2 linked regions of the Stegostoma tigrinum genome follow. The protein of the gene in region 1 purifies or fractionates together with the protein of each later gene. This does not show direct contact. Links are inferred from orthologs where the notes say so. Each region holds a gene or a part of one and is shown in the gene's direction. Other genes may lie near its edges.

Region 1 (7,973 bases):
TTGCTCCAGTGTGTCTTGTAGCTGGAGAGACTGTTGCCACAAAGTGAAGGCTGATGGTGGTCAATGGCGTACCAATCAAAAACAGTCTACTTTGTCCTTGATGGTGTGAAGTTTCTTGAGAATGCTGTTGGAACTGCACCAAATTTGATTTCTCAATAAGCACCACATATAGAAGAGGTACCATCTGCCTGCTCATACATACAGATTATACAGAGGGAGAAATAACTTTAAATTTCAGTAGACTGAATACTGGATAATAAATAAATGGAAACAATTTGAATAAATGACAAGCATGTTAAATTTCTCAATCCCTGTAATAAACCATAATCACACAGACATACTAGGTTAGTGCTTCTTAAACTATTCCCTCTGTGACTCCATTCTCAGGCTTGAAAATTGTCGTGACCCCTCAGTATGCAGCCATGGGGGAGGGAGACCCATGAGATCAGCGAAAGGAGTTTGGCCATTACAGCCTCAAAGCCTGCAACCCCAAAATGTCAACTCTCACCCTGTCCTATGGGAAGCCTTGTACTATTGGTTCTCATTCCATGCTTTGTGCTTTGGAATCTCATTAAGCAGAATCTACCTGAGAGCAGAGATTTTGCAGAACTCGACTGTGACTTTGTCAATAGGGAGTGTCACCCCACTCCCTGTAGCCCATTCTGGGTGTCACAGAAGCAAGACTGGAAGCAGTTTGGGCAAAGGTTCCACTCTCTGAGTGAATGAGAGGTGGCTTCATTCATTTGAGTGAAATTTGATTGAGGTACAAGTGAGTTTGATTCAGGAACAACTTTGCCAGGATTTGCTGCAACACAACAGGAAGTTAGATGGACATTTCTTATTGAAAATCCATACTGCCCCAAAACTAGACATCTGTTTATTTGCTGCAGGAAAAGCTACCAGTGCTCAGATACTCTTCGGATACTTGTTGGGATTTCAACAGTGTGTGTGTCCATTGAAAGCAGAGTTATATTTTCATTAGAAAACTCTCCATAAACTCTACATTCCTGCAATTCTGGCCTCTTGTGCATCGTCCACTTCCCTCATCCCACCATACGCTACCTTCATGGCTTTAAAGCTCTGGACTACCCTCTCCCCTAAAAAAAACAAACCTTTCTCTCTTTCTCCTTATTTAAGACACCACTTTCTGAAGAGAAGAGAAATTGCCAGTCTACAGGAAAAAGGCAGGGTAGTGGGATGAGGTGTCTTGCTCCTGAAAACATCCTCAACAAATAATACTATTGGCTGACAGCTAACAAAACACTGACACAGAACCTAAACCCAAAAAAACACCCTGGATTCATCTGAATGCTCCAGTAGACTGCCTCGTAACAGACCTCAGTGATGAAGATTTCATTTGCTTGAGGATGGCTTCATGGAAAATGTGGTTATGTGACCCATGAAACATGAGGGATGCTGAAATGCTGACTGTGACCATTCAAGTCAGCCCAGCGCCCATCTACTGCATTCCTGCCTGATGGTGTTGGCACTACTAGCTGTAAGGAGTGCAAGAAATGCTCACCAGACTACAACCTGACATAGTGGGACTGTTTGAGGAGGACAAGTTGAGGTGACTGAGCCTGTATTCTCTAGAACTTGGATGAATGAGAAATGACCACAATGAAGCATAACACATTTCCTTATGGGGCTTGACAGGCAAGGCGTAGGAAGCATGCTTTTCCTGACTGAAGTGGAGGGTGGAGAGCTTGTATAGAACCAACAGTCTTAGAATAAGAGATAGAATATCAAGGACTATGTTGTGAAGGAATATCCTAACTCAGGAGGTGGTGAATCTTTGTAATTCTTGACCAAAGAGCTGTAGGTGCCCAGTCACTGAGTATATTTAGGACAGAGATTGAAAGATTTTTAAATGTTAAAGATATCAAGGGATATGAGAATAGAGTGAGAAACCAATGCTGAAGTGGGAATATCAGCAGCGATCTAGTCAAAAGGTAGAGAGGCTCAACAAGCTGAATGGTCTGTTCCTATTACCTACATTCACACTGCATCATCTTGAATGAATGGCTAATCTTGTCATTAGACTCTAATGGCTTCCCCAGCCTTTAGAACATATTGGGCATGTTAGCAAGAGCAACTTGCCCGGTCCCAATTTCCCATCCTTTCACTGTAGCCTTTCATGTATTTTCTCTTTGGATAATGATCGAATTCTCTGTGAATGCCATGTTTGAATTTTCTCTGCCACACTGTCAGGGGAGTGCATTCCAAATTGTGACTACTCTCGGACTACAAAACAAAAGCTAATGTCATCTCATGTTGTTTCTTTTGCCAATCAATCTGTTGTCTGTTTCTAGGTTCAGAAAAAGGAGGGATTTCTTCCTATCCAATCTGTCCAGAGCCCTCCTGATTTTGGGCACCTCTATCAAATCTCCGCTCAGATATGCCCTCGAAGGAGCACTGCCCCAGCTTCTCATATTATTCATTCATTTAACTGAAATTGCTCACTCCAGTCTGTACTCTCTAATGGCAGCACATCCTTCCTAAAGGAACTGGACACAATCCTCCAGCTGAGACCAAATTAGTGTTTAATTCTGGGCTACTGTAATTCCTTGCTTTTGCTTGTTGTTTGTTTATATCTTGTTTCTGTCAATAAATGCCCAGGATCGTGATACTTCATTTCCTGTTCTTTCAACCTGTCCTACCACCTTCAATGTTTTGTCTCTGTACAGTCCCAGGTCCCTGTGTTTCCACTTTTGGAATTGTTCTTCTACTTTTATATTGACTCATCTTCTCCATCCCAAAATGAATCATTTAAGATGTACAATCAGTATTTCTCTTTTGTTGTTAATCTGGAACCCTCCAACAGGACAGCGGGAACACAATACAGACTGCTGCGATTTAAGCAGATGGTCCCACGCTGTTTTCTCAGAGCTACTAATTTAAAGCAAAAGCAAAATACTATGGTTCCTGGAAACCTGAAACATTTTTTTATAAAGTGATACTGCCAGTTTTGAGTTGTTTCTTCCTGTGTAAAAGACTTGATTAAAATTGCAAGTTTAAAATGAAGTAATTACCAGTTAAATAGAAACCAAAAGAACTGTGGATGCTGTAAATCAGGAACAAAAACAAAGTCGCTGGAAAAGCTCAGCAGGTCTGGCAGCATCTGTGGAGGAGAAAACAGAGTTAATGTTTCAGGTCCGGTGACCCTTCCTCAGAACTGATGGTGGCTGGGAAAATGTCAGTTTATATGCAGAAAATAGGGAGGTCGGTGGGGTAGGGAGTAAATGATAGGATAGAGCCCAAAGAGAAAGACAAGGGAGTTGCTAACGATCAGACTGGGAGGGTGAATAGTTGTTAATGGGGACTGTTAGTGACTAACAACGGGGGGGTGGGGGGCAGGCTATGTGGTAACAAGGCCTGATGTGTTGCCTGCCACTTCAATGTACCACCCTACTCCCTGGCCAACATCTCTGTGTCTGGCTTGCGACAGTGTTCCAGTGAAGCCCAACGCAAGCCGGAGGAACAACACCTCATATTCCGCTTGGGGACCCTACAGTCCCCCGGACTCAATATTGAATTCAATAATTTTAGGGCCTAAACTCCCCCATGTCCCAGCCCCCTACCCCACATACCCCATAGCCTGCCACTCCACACCCTCCCCCCGTTAGCCCCGTTAGTCACTAACAGTCTCCATTAACAACTGTTCACCCTCCCAGCCCGAACGTTAGCAACTCCTTTGTCTGTCCAACTGTCTTTCTCTCTCTTTGGACTCAATCGTATAGTTTACTCCGCACCCCAACCACCTCCCTATTTTCTGCATATAAACTGACGTGTTCCCAGCCACCATCAGTTCTGCGGAAGGATCACTGGACCTGAAATGTTAACTCTGTTTTCTCCTCCACAGATGCTGCCAGACCTGCTAAGCTTTTCCAGCAACTTTGTTTTTGTTCCTAATTACCAGTAAATAATGTTACAGTGTCTGGAAAGGTTTAGAGGGATATGGGACAAATGCAGACAAATGGGACTAATTTGGTTTTGGAAAATGTTTTGGTGTGGACAAGTGGGACCCAAGGGTCCATTTCTATGCTGTATGAATCTATAACCCTCAAAGCTCACTAGGTCAGTCAGCATCTGTGGAGAGAAGAAAAACAGAACTCACGTTTCAGACCGGTAACCTTTCACCTCCATTTCTTCTCAGGACAGCTTGGAGTAGACAATATCTCTAGTCCTCCCAACCAAAGAAAATCTCCATTTTCGTTGACGGATTTTAAATGGCATAAACATATACTAAACATGAAAAGATGCATTTACCTAATTTCATCAAATCAAATCAAAGGCAGTCTATAGAGCTGGTACAATATGACGAATGGTAAATCATATTGCAACAGAAGAATTGGGACATTGAATAGCACTGACTTTACAAGCGCTTGTTACAGGGGTTACAAACGAAATAAACCATGCTACTGCAGTCCCAGATCAAGCGGCGATTTTGCTGTGTTTAACATAGCAGTCAGTGTTTTGCAGGGCTTAATAAGGCATTTGACAAACCGGAGTATTTTTTTTACATTTCTACATCAGCCCGAGTCTTGCAGTGTTAGATAATGTTATAATCTTAAACAAATCAGAGGCTTTTACAACGTTTAATAAAACGGGAGTTTCACGGTGCTTAATAAACCGATATTGTTTAACGTTTCACAGTCTGTTCATAAAACCAAGAGCTTTGCGGTTCTTATACATCGAAGGGTTTTGCTAATTCCGTCTGGTTAAATGATTTGAGCAGGAGTTGCATTTCTCCAGGATCTCCACTAGGAAGCTGCATTGCTCTCTCTCACTGATTCCGTGCCAGAACCCTTTCTGAATCGGCTCCATCTCCATTTCCATCTGTTGACCTCGAAGCTGAAGACAGAGAGAACATTACAGCCGTCTCTCTCCCCCCACCCCCTTCAAACTTGACCAGAGTGGCTGCCAGCGAAGATTACTTCACGGACCGGAGCTGGGATTTTTACTGGCCCTTGCTGCGGACAGAGGAGACCGGAGTGAGAGTGAGGGGGATGTCTGTTTATAGTCTCTCCTTTGCCGGTGAGTAGCTCCGGGATCCTGGTCACCGGAGACTGGAGTGGGGGGAAACAGAGGGGGCTACAATTAGTGCTTTGTCAACGGGGGTGGGGGGTGGTTTGCAATGGGATCTGGGGAGATTTAACCTCCTCCCAACCCCGAGGAGGGCTGGCATTGGGCTGGATTTGCATTTATGTATGTATGTATTTATATATAAATGTGTGTGTGTTTCTTTTTCACTCGGCCTTCTTCGTTCCGCCTTTAGCGGCGGCTGTAAGAAGTGGATTTGCAGACACCGGACAAAATCAGGACCGTTCAGTATTGGAGAGGATACTTTGTCAAGATCTGAGCGGCTTTCTTTTTTAAAAAAAGACGGTGAAACAGCATTCCTTCAGCAGGAAACATTTCCCCATGTGTTACAATGTGTCGGACTGTATCAGTTGTGCAAGGGAATTTTGTATTGCTTCCCTTCAAAAATTAAAAGCTCATTTGGCTTCCTGTCAGGGCCCACTTTTGCAAATAGTTGTTTAACTTACTCCCTCGTAGAGAATTGGGGTTTTACTTGCGAAAATAATTCATCGTGGTTACCTGCTTCCTGTTGCCACTTACCCCTCCCCCATTCCTCGTTTTCTCAGGGTCGTCAGTTTCTCTTCGGTTCTGAAGCCAATGATTAAGCGTGAGACTGATCGAAATACATGCAGGGAACAGTGATCGCTGTGGTTCAGTAATTGCCTATATTCCCCTCCCCCTTCCCTATAATTCCTTTACCGCCCCCCCCCCCCCATTTAAAGATTGTTAAACAAATAGGACCATAAAAACTATGGAAAGTCGTCCATTCAGCCCCTCGAATCGATTCTGCCATTCAATAAGATCATGTCTGATCTGATTGTATCCTCAAATTTTCATTCCATTTACCTCTGATAACTTTGCTTATTAAGAATTTATCTCTGCCTTAAACATGTTCAAAACCCCTGTTTACACCACTTTTCACAACGGGAGACTCTCAACCCTACGATTTTTTAAAACCGAACATCAAATGGGTGACTCCTGATTTTTAAACTGATCCCACAAGAGACAAACATCCTCATCATATCTACCTTCCTGATGTCTCACAAGATCTCTTATATTTCAAATGAATTATCTCTTACCCTTCTGAATTCCAGTGGAAACAGTCCTGCGCCGCTGACCAAGCACACATCCAGTTGCAGACATAAGTTGAATAAACCTTCTCTGAACTGCCTCAACACACTTATACCTTTAAATAAGGTGTTCAATACTGTGCACAATATTTCAGTTATGCTTTGGCTGGATAACTAAAGCACAGGCTCCTAACTTTTTTTTATCAAACTCATGGCAAATGAAAACATCCTTTTTGTTCTCCTGATGACTTGCTGTATCTGTGTCCTATTCTTTTGCAATTCATTCACAAGGGCACCCAGATCTTAGCATCTCAGAGCTCTGTAATCTCCCACCATTTAGGTAATTTAAAAAATATTTTTCTTAAAAAATGGAATTTTTCATATTTCTCCATGTTACAGTCCATTTGCACAGCACAGCCCTCTCAATTTATCTGATGACATATTGTCAGAACCTCTTGTAGACTCTTCACAACTTAACCTTCCTTCCTTTCTGGCATTGTGTCATCTGCAAATTTGGCAGCCATTCACCTGTCCCTTCATTGAAGTTCTTTATAAAATTTTTAACCAGTAGACGTGCCAACACCGACCCCTGTGGCACACTACTAGTTAAACGTTGCCGACCATCTACACATAATTTAGCACTTTCTGTTAATCACCCAATAATCTATCTATGTCAGGATGCTAACCTGTACATCAGAAGCTTTTACTTTCCACAGTAGCCTTTAATGTGGCACACTGTCAAATGCCTTCTGTAAATATGAGTACAGTACTTTCTCTGATTCCCCGTATACCTACAACATTTGTTACCTCCTCAAAGAACTCCAGTAGGTTAGTCAAACATGATTTAGCTTTCTCAAAACCATGCTGGTGTGTCTGATTACCTTGAGCTTATCTAAGCATCCTACAATATGTATTGTAGACAGCGTAGAAGGTTTTCTAAGATTACAGAGGGATCTTGATCAAACGGTTTCAATGGACTGAAAAATGGACAATGGAGCTCAATCTGGATAAGCGTAAGATATTGCATTTTGGTACAATAAACAAGGGTAGGGCTTATACAATTAATGGTAGGGTCTTGAGTAGTGTTGTTGAACAGAGGAACCCTAGGGGTGCAGGTACATAATTCTTTGAAGTTTGCATCACATGTAGAAAGGCTGGTTAAAAAGGTGTTTGGCACGCTTGCCTTCATTGCTCAGTCCTTTTGAGTATAGGAGTTGGGAAGTCATGTTGAGGTTATACAAGACATTGGTGAGGCCTTTTCTGGAATACTGTGCCCAGTTCTGGTCACCCAGTTATAGGGAGGACATTATCAAGCTGGAGAGGGTTCAGGAGAGATTTACCACGATGTTGATGGGTAAGGAAGGTTTGAGTTATAAACAAAGGCTGGATAGGTTGGAACTTCTTTCACTGGAGCGTAGGAGAGGCAACCAGATAGAAGTTTATAAAATGATGAGGGGTGTAGATAGAGTTGATGGTAGTTTCCTTTTCTCTAGAATGGGAGATTTCAAGACAAGGGGGCACATTTTTAAGGTGAGTGGAGAGAGATTTAAAAAAAGACATGAGGCAAATTTTTTTTGCAGAAGTTGGCTTCTGTGTGGAATGAACTTCCTGAAGAAGTGGTGGAAGCTGGTACAGTTATAACATTTAAAAGACATTTGGATGGATATGTGAATAGAAAAGGTTTGGTGAAGAAAGGGCCTGGAGCAGGCAGGTTAGATTAGTTTAGTTTGGGATTATGTTCAACATAGACTGGTTGGACTGAAGGGTCTGTTTCTGCATGGTATGACTCTATATCTCTGTTTGCAGTTCCTTAATGTTCCA
Region 2 (7,335 bases), on another chromosome or scaffold:
GTGTTCCTCAATATTCATGGACAATTAGTTTCTGAAAGTGCTACTGAAATGTTTTGAATTTTCCTCCTAAATTATGTGATTAGATGATGTTACCAGCTGATGAGGATAGATGACTGTTTGTATGTTGTGATGTGAAAATAACTCTCAGCTCTTCCTTCAATACTTCAGCAAGTGATTCAAATCAATTTCCTCAAAATGCTGATAATTGCTTTAAATACAAATTTTAGTAAACAAGTTTTGTTGCTTTGAACAGCATTCTTATGTTTCAATAAACAGTGTGTTATGACTCACTGCTGTATGAACTATTTAAAAAATTAGTCTACATTGAATTTCGCATAACTTCCTTGTTCTTGTACACTCTGCTTCTATTTACAAAGACAAAGGATTCTATATCCTGAGAAAAAATACAAAATGGAAAAAATATATAATGACAGTAAAACAAAAATTCCAGAAAAAATATTAACCCCAGTAAATCTATTTTATTATCTGGATGTAGACCAGATTTGTGGCCTTTGCACATCCCCATCAGGGAAAAAATCTGTCTCGCTTTTTTGATTAGTCATGGTGATACTTTACTGGAAAAACGCGCTTAAACTTCTTTACAATTTAAAATTATTCTGCTGTCATGCATAGTTTAAAATGTTAAAAAAACTAATTGTATCAATCATTACATCATTTTCTATGCATAAGACATTTTTGTTCGTTTTTGTATTCCACCCACCCTCTAAAGGGAAGGAGAGAATTATTCCAGTACGAAATGATCATACTGCCACACTCACCCTCATTCTTTAATATCCATGTATCTCGGCATATGGAAATTATTATTTATTTGTAGTATATATTTTATATGCTATATAACTGGTTGTTTTGAATTAAAAAAATGTTATGCATAGTGTTTGCCACTTTCTATAAAGACATTTAAAAATATAAAACTGATTCAGTTTAAAAATTACATTCTGACTATAACTTGGGGTGCTACAGCAAGTATTAATTAACAAAATTAATTGGTGTGGTACTATGAATCATACATGCAGCTTGATTCGGGTAGCACTCATATCTCTAGGTTAAAGATCATGAATTAATATGGCACTCCAGAATCTGAGCACAAAATTTAGACTGAAACATCAGTGTAGAAATGCTGGGGCTGGTGTCTTTCAGACAAATTGTCAAACTAAGGCCTTGTAAACTAAGTGTGTGAGCTCACATGGATAAAGAAGATCCATAGAACCAATAAGCGTAAAGATTACTTTCTCCTGGTATCAAAATAATAGTTATCTCTTAACTGAGCACCACCAAGAAAGATTTTACTTTTTCTCCCTGCTGTTTATAAGAACACATGACAAAACAGAAAAGGAAAGATACTCTGGTTCATCTGACTTGTCCTGCATATTTATAATATCTTGTGCATTTGTTTTCATTCTTTCATGAGCTGTGGGTGTTACTGGCTGGGCCAATATCCACCATTCCTAAATTGCTTAAGAAAGCACTCATGAGCTGCCTTCTTAAAATGCTGCAGTCCATGGGATGAATACACCAACAGTGTTGTGAGGAAGGAGGTTCCAGGATTTCGACCTAGCGACGATGAAGGAATGGCAATATAGTTTCAAGCCAGGGTGGTGTATGGCTTGGAGGGGATCTTGCAGATGGGTGTTTCTGCTAATGCATCTACTGCCCTTGTCCTACTAGATGGTAAAAATTTACATTACCATATATACATTCTTACTCTACCTGAAACCATTCAATCTCCAGGGAATCATTAAAAATCTAAACCAACGTTGGAGGAAGAAAAGTTTAGGAATTCCTTTCTGACCCTCTTTGGCAATCACAACTGGTCAAGTGTGATGATGCTATGGCTTTAACAGGCATATTTTGCCCTGTTACTTTTTATGAAGATAGGTTGAGACAGAGGTAATAAGTGGTCTGCTCAAAGCCAATAAAGTAAACAGCTTGTGAGGCCCTGTTTTTTTTAAAGTTTGGAGCAATAGAAGCAGCCTGAATAAATGGGGTCATGCTCCCACAGAACTAGGATTTTTAGTTTTAGATTTCTGCAGTTGCTGGGATCTTGAGGTTGGATGCAGAAGTTTTTATTTCTTTCTGTTATTGCTAAAAGCTGGGGTTCTATTCCTGCTGCTAGAGTTGCAAGTAAGGGTATTGGCATCTTCTTAATATATTTTGAGGTGGTTTGGTCGGGTCAATAACATGAAAATGTCATTCAATCCTCCAATTTCCTGCAATACCTACCTTTCTTCAAAGGTGACATCTGTCCTAGCTGGAAACAGTTCTAATTGTCATGAAGTATTCAATTAATTGCCACTGTATGCACAGTCCATCATTTTCTGAGAAGAAGACCGACATCTTGACATTTAACACAGATCTGGTCCTCTACAATTTAAAATTTGGTTCTTTGGTCCTTGATTACATACTAAATTGCAACAAATTGTCTACTCAAGCACAACTTTCCCCGCATCATCATCATAATCACCTAAAACTTGATCAGATCACCCACACCTATCCTTCTCTGAAGTGCATGGTCTCAGATCTTTTAATCTATCCTGATAACTAAGATGTTTCCAATTGTGAATTAATCTTGCATTCCTCCTCTGCATCTTTTCCATATCTCAATATTACCTATCTGTGAGGCAATCAAAACTAGGCACGAAATTCTAACTGAAGCCACACTAAGGTCATTTACAGGTACAAAATAATATGCTTAGACTTACTGTCAATTGTGTTTTATACACTATGATGATCAAATCTTTTTCTTCCACCATTTCTGTTAATGCCTTTCCTTGAGGTGTATATGTATGCTTAGCAGCTACTGTATGCATAGGCTTAAGATTGCACTTTTCCAAGTTAAACATAACCTGGCAGTTTAAAAGCCCACATTTTGCAATTCATCCATTCAGCCTTATGCTGACATATCAATATTTGTCCAAAATCCAAATACACTACATCTCTTGGTACCCCTCTATCCACCCTACTTATTACATCCTCAAGGAACTCTAACAAAATTGTTAGACATGACTTTTCCTTCATAGACACAGTTGACTCAGCTTGATCGTACCATGATTTTCAAAAACCCCTGCTAAAACTTGCTTGATATCAGATTCCAGCATCTTCTCAAAGACAGATGTTAGGCTAAATGGCCTATATATACACACACCAGCTTTACACATCCATCCTTTCTTGAACATGGACATTCTATTTGTGATTTTGCAATTCACTGGGGCCTTTCCATAATCTACAGAATTCTGAAAATGTACAATCAATGCAAACCCTATTTCTGCAGCCAATTCTTTTAAGACCCTTTCATGCAAGCTATTAGCTCCAGAGCACTTGTCACCTTTTAGTCCCATGAGTTTCGCGAGAACATTTTTTAAAGTGATGATTGCTTCAACGTGCCCTTGAATTTCTACTAATCTTGCGAAGTTTTTACTGACTTTCACTGTGAAAAAACCGACAAAATATTCAGTCCAAATCATAGTTGTGAGACAGTAAATAGGAAAAATTCTTTCCAGTTGCAGAATGATCGGCAGCTCGAGGACACAGAATTAAGGTGACTGTCAAAAATAACTTGAATTGACAAGAGGTAACAGCGACGTTGCAGTGCACTGCCTGAAAGGTAGGTTCAGTAGTAACATTCAAAAGAGAATTGGCTTGCGGAGGTTGGGGACTGTGGGGTTAACAGTTATGGGGAAAGAACAGGAGAATGTGATTAATTAGGTAACTGTACAAAAGAGGCAGCACGAGAGCGATGGGACGAATGGGCTTTTTCTATGCTGTATCATTCAATGACTGGCTCATTTCATTTCAATCGTGGATTTCATATTGATAGACCATGCATTTCGTAAACTCAATAATCCGAAGTCAAGCTCTGACAAATTTACAGGCATAGCTCGACCACATTTAGTCGCATTTTTAGTAACAGTGAAGTTTCCTTGGTGCTATTTCTCGACTGCCTTGTTCCCGAGACCCGAGCAGGAGGAGCTGCAGACTGTCAAGAGGGAGGGAGCACCAGGGTGATGTCAGCAAGAACTGTGTTCTGGCTCTCAGTTGAGAAGCCCTGTAGAGAGAGGACTTCGACCAAAGAAGCGAAACAAGAGAAGAAAGCAGCGACTTCAGCCTTAAAAAAAGAAAAAAAGTATCACTGACAACTTTTTGCTGCTGGAAAATAACCCTCAACCTCTCCTCTCGTCGTTTTGAGCGTGGATTTTCTGTGGGTGGAAATACTCTCAAAAATAAGGAAGAAATCAGAGCAACAACGAATCGACTGGATTCGAGCCTTCGACAAAATAACAACAATATACCTCTACAGAAGATCAATCCTGAGCTGTATTCGAAGATGGGAAGCGAGACACAGAGAAAGGGGGGAGTCTGGTTGCACTGATCGAGGCACAGAGACGGTCTGAGTAAGGGAAGAGAGACAGAAAAATCTAGAAGAAAAGTGAAAAATTGATTTTTTTTCCGGCGTATTGAAGGAGGGGAGTTGTTTTCTTTTTAAAAATTTCCTGAGGTAAATAATGTTTGTTTTTTTTATTTTGATCGAGTTTTTTTTGGTCGTCCGTTGGTGAGTGTGGGCTATGCACATCCGGGCCACCGGGCTGGAGGAGGCCATCATTGTTCGCTCGGGGAAAGGGGGGAAAAGCGGCGGCGGCCGCTGGCGAACGGGAGATACCATCACCATTAGCAACAGCAGCAGCCGGAATTAAACCTCATTTAAAAAATATAAACATACAAATAAAACATAAACGCTCGGGAACATGTCTAATCAAGGAGCCAGGAGGAATGGGCCAGTAAAGTTACGTCTAACAGGTAAGAAGCTGTGAATTGCACACGCATATGTAATATACACTGTGCGTTATGAAGACCTGGAGCTTTAAATGGATCCTTTCTTTTTCTCTTTTTAAATGATTTGTGAATGGAAAGATTGTTTTGTTTTTTTTCTAGTAGTTTCCTTCTCTTTGTCCCCACCCCCAATCGTGAGTGGCCAAATAAGTCATGTCATTTGCACACATTTTCTTTACAAAAGAGTGGTTGAACTTGAATGAGTTTTTTCCTGACTGGCAGATTTTGCTTTTGAATAATTTTTTTCTTATTCCCTGTATGTGGGCTTGGGGAGAAGGGTTGTGTCTTCGGATGATTTTATAACCAGGAAATTCCTGTTTCTGTTTGGAGGTTTCGGTGCTTGTAATACGTGTGAGGCCTGGCAAAGTAAACTCTTGGTTGTTGAGGTTATTCCTATGACGTGGGGGGGGGGGCGTGTGGATTCGAAACAATCTTTCTGCTTCTACCAACTCCTCTCTGATTTGCATACGGGCATGTCTGTAATATGAAAATATGTAAGATCAAGAAGACTTACGAGTTGCTGCATTTTATTAATCCAATTGTATTTATGTTCCCACCCGTCCAAAGAAGTGCAACAGCCAACTTGGCAACGGTTCAAAAGTTTAGTTTTGTTGCCTTGTGCTTATTCTGCACTATATTTATATTTTTATTTTATCTCCATGGACTTCACAATGAAAAGATGATTACGTTATTTAGAACTGGAGCTTAGTTTCTGGAAAGTTTATGAGAAAACAGCCACCCTTCAAATTGTGGCATTTTACATTAAGAACAGGTTTATTCAAAATAGGAAATGATATCTAAAATGTATTTTTTAGAAAAGGCATATTGTGAACATTATACTTGGACATCTTAACATTTTCATTAGCTGACGTTTTGCCTGTCTGCTTGGCTCAGAAATGATGTACTCACCCCTTACTAAGAAGGTTGTGGATTAAAAGTCCATTGCTTATTTTTGCCTATCATTCAGTACAGTAGAGGAGTCGTGATAGCAAGAGCTGCTGGCTGTAGGAAGAGATATTAAATCTAAGGTCTTGCATGACAGTTGGGTTGTTTTAAAAGATCCCTAGATATCATTTTGAAGAGCAGGGAGTATGTATTTTTTGCCAACGGTCTGACTCAATGACCACTCAAAAAGCATATAGTCTGCTCTTTAATCTTCTGTTTGTGGGATTGTGCTGCACTAACAACATAATTGCACCTCCAAAAAAAACTTCACATTCTATGGAATCTTGAAATGTTGTAAAGACATAAAAATGCTTCATTTTAGAAATAACATCAATGTTGTTGTGTTGGGAAGTGTAATAGCAAAAACAATGCTGTAAATATTCATCAGGCCAGAAACAAGAGTTAAGGTTTCAGATTGATGACCTTACACCATTTCTAATGAATTAGCATCTGTCTGAAATATTAACCCTGTTTCTTAGTCTACAGATGCTGCTTGCCATTCTGAGGCTTAATGGAATTTTGTTTTTGTTTTTAATTTCAGATTTCCAACATTTTTCAGAATTGCACACTCAGTTACTGTTATCAGTGGTGTTGGTTCAAGAATAAATGGTGGTTGGGATGCCTGCAGAGCTAGGCTGTTCAGATTGGAGTAAAGGCACATGACATCTTGAGTTAACTCCTGAGCCAAAAGATAGTGGTAATACTAATCCAGCATGAGAATATGTCCTTAGATCTTTTTGAGTGGGGCTAGAATCCATGCTCAAACAAGAATGACTGAACTATGTACTGTTGAAAAGAATTACAGACATGAGAAGTAAAGTGATAAATGCCTGAAAATGCATGCATAATTTTGGTTGAAGTATGTTTATATAAATGATTTGAATGAGAATTTGAGAAATGATTAGTAAATTTGCAGTTGACACCAAAATTGGTGGTATAGTCAACAGTGAAGGAGGTTATCTCAGATTATAAAGAGATCTTGATCAGTTGAACCATTGGGTTGAGGAGTGGCAGATGAAATGTATTTTGGATAAATGTGAGATGTTGCATTTTGATTAAGCAAATAAGGGCAGAACTTCTACAGTTAATGGTAGGACCCTGAGTAGTGTTGTAAAACAAAGAGACCTTGGGGTTCAGTTATATAATTCTTTGAAATTTGCGTCACATGTAGACAGGGTCATTAAGATGTTTAGCGAGCTTGCCTTCATTGGTTCAGACCTCTGAGTATAGGAGTTGGGAAGTCATTGTTGAGGTTGTACAGGAAGTTGGCAAGGCCTCTTCTGGAGTACTATGTACGGTTCTGGCCGCCTGCTACAGGAAGGATATTATTACATCGGAGTAGATTTAGGAGAGATTCACCAGGATGTTGCAGGGAATGCAGTGTTTGAGTTATAAGGACAGGTTGGATAGGCTGGGATTATTTTTGTTGCAGCATAGGAATTTGAGGGCTTTCTTTATAAGAGGTTTATAAAATCATGAGGGGCATAGATAAGGTGAATAGCAAGGATCTTTTCCCCAGGGTGCGGGAGTTCAAAACTAGGGGAC

What was found. The genes of interacting proteins can lie anywhere in the genome.
Region 2: the proteins of cuedc1b (region 1) and smurf2 purify together in Homo sapiens (co-immunoprecipitation; 3 studies listed by BioGRID and IntAct, with this or other methods). This does not show direct contact. The link is inferred for Stegostoma tigrinum from reciprocal best matches to the Homo sapiens genes CUEDC1 and SMURF2.

The regions. Positions count from the first base shown.
Region 1 is NC_081380.1:34,334,981-34,342,953, forward strand, and holds the start of cuedc1b (CUE domain-containing protein 1b), read left to right. Parts: upstream 1-4,766; 5' UTR 4,767-5,037; intron 5,038-7,973.
Region 2 is NC_081375.1:10,563,507-10,570,841, forward strand, and holds the start of smurf2 (E3 ubiquitin-protein ligase SMURF2), read left to right. Parts: upstream 1-3,977; 5' UTR 3,978-4,760; coding exon 4,761-4,812; intron 4,813-7,335. UniProt on the Homo sapiens protein: E3 ubiquitin-protein ligase which accepts ubiquitin from an E2 ubiquitin-conjugating enzyme in the form of a thioester and then directly transfers the ubiquitin to targeted substrates.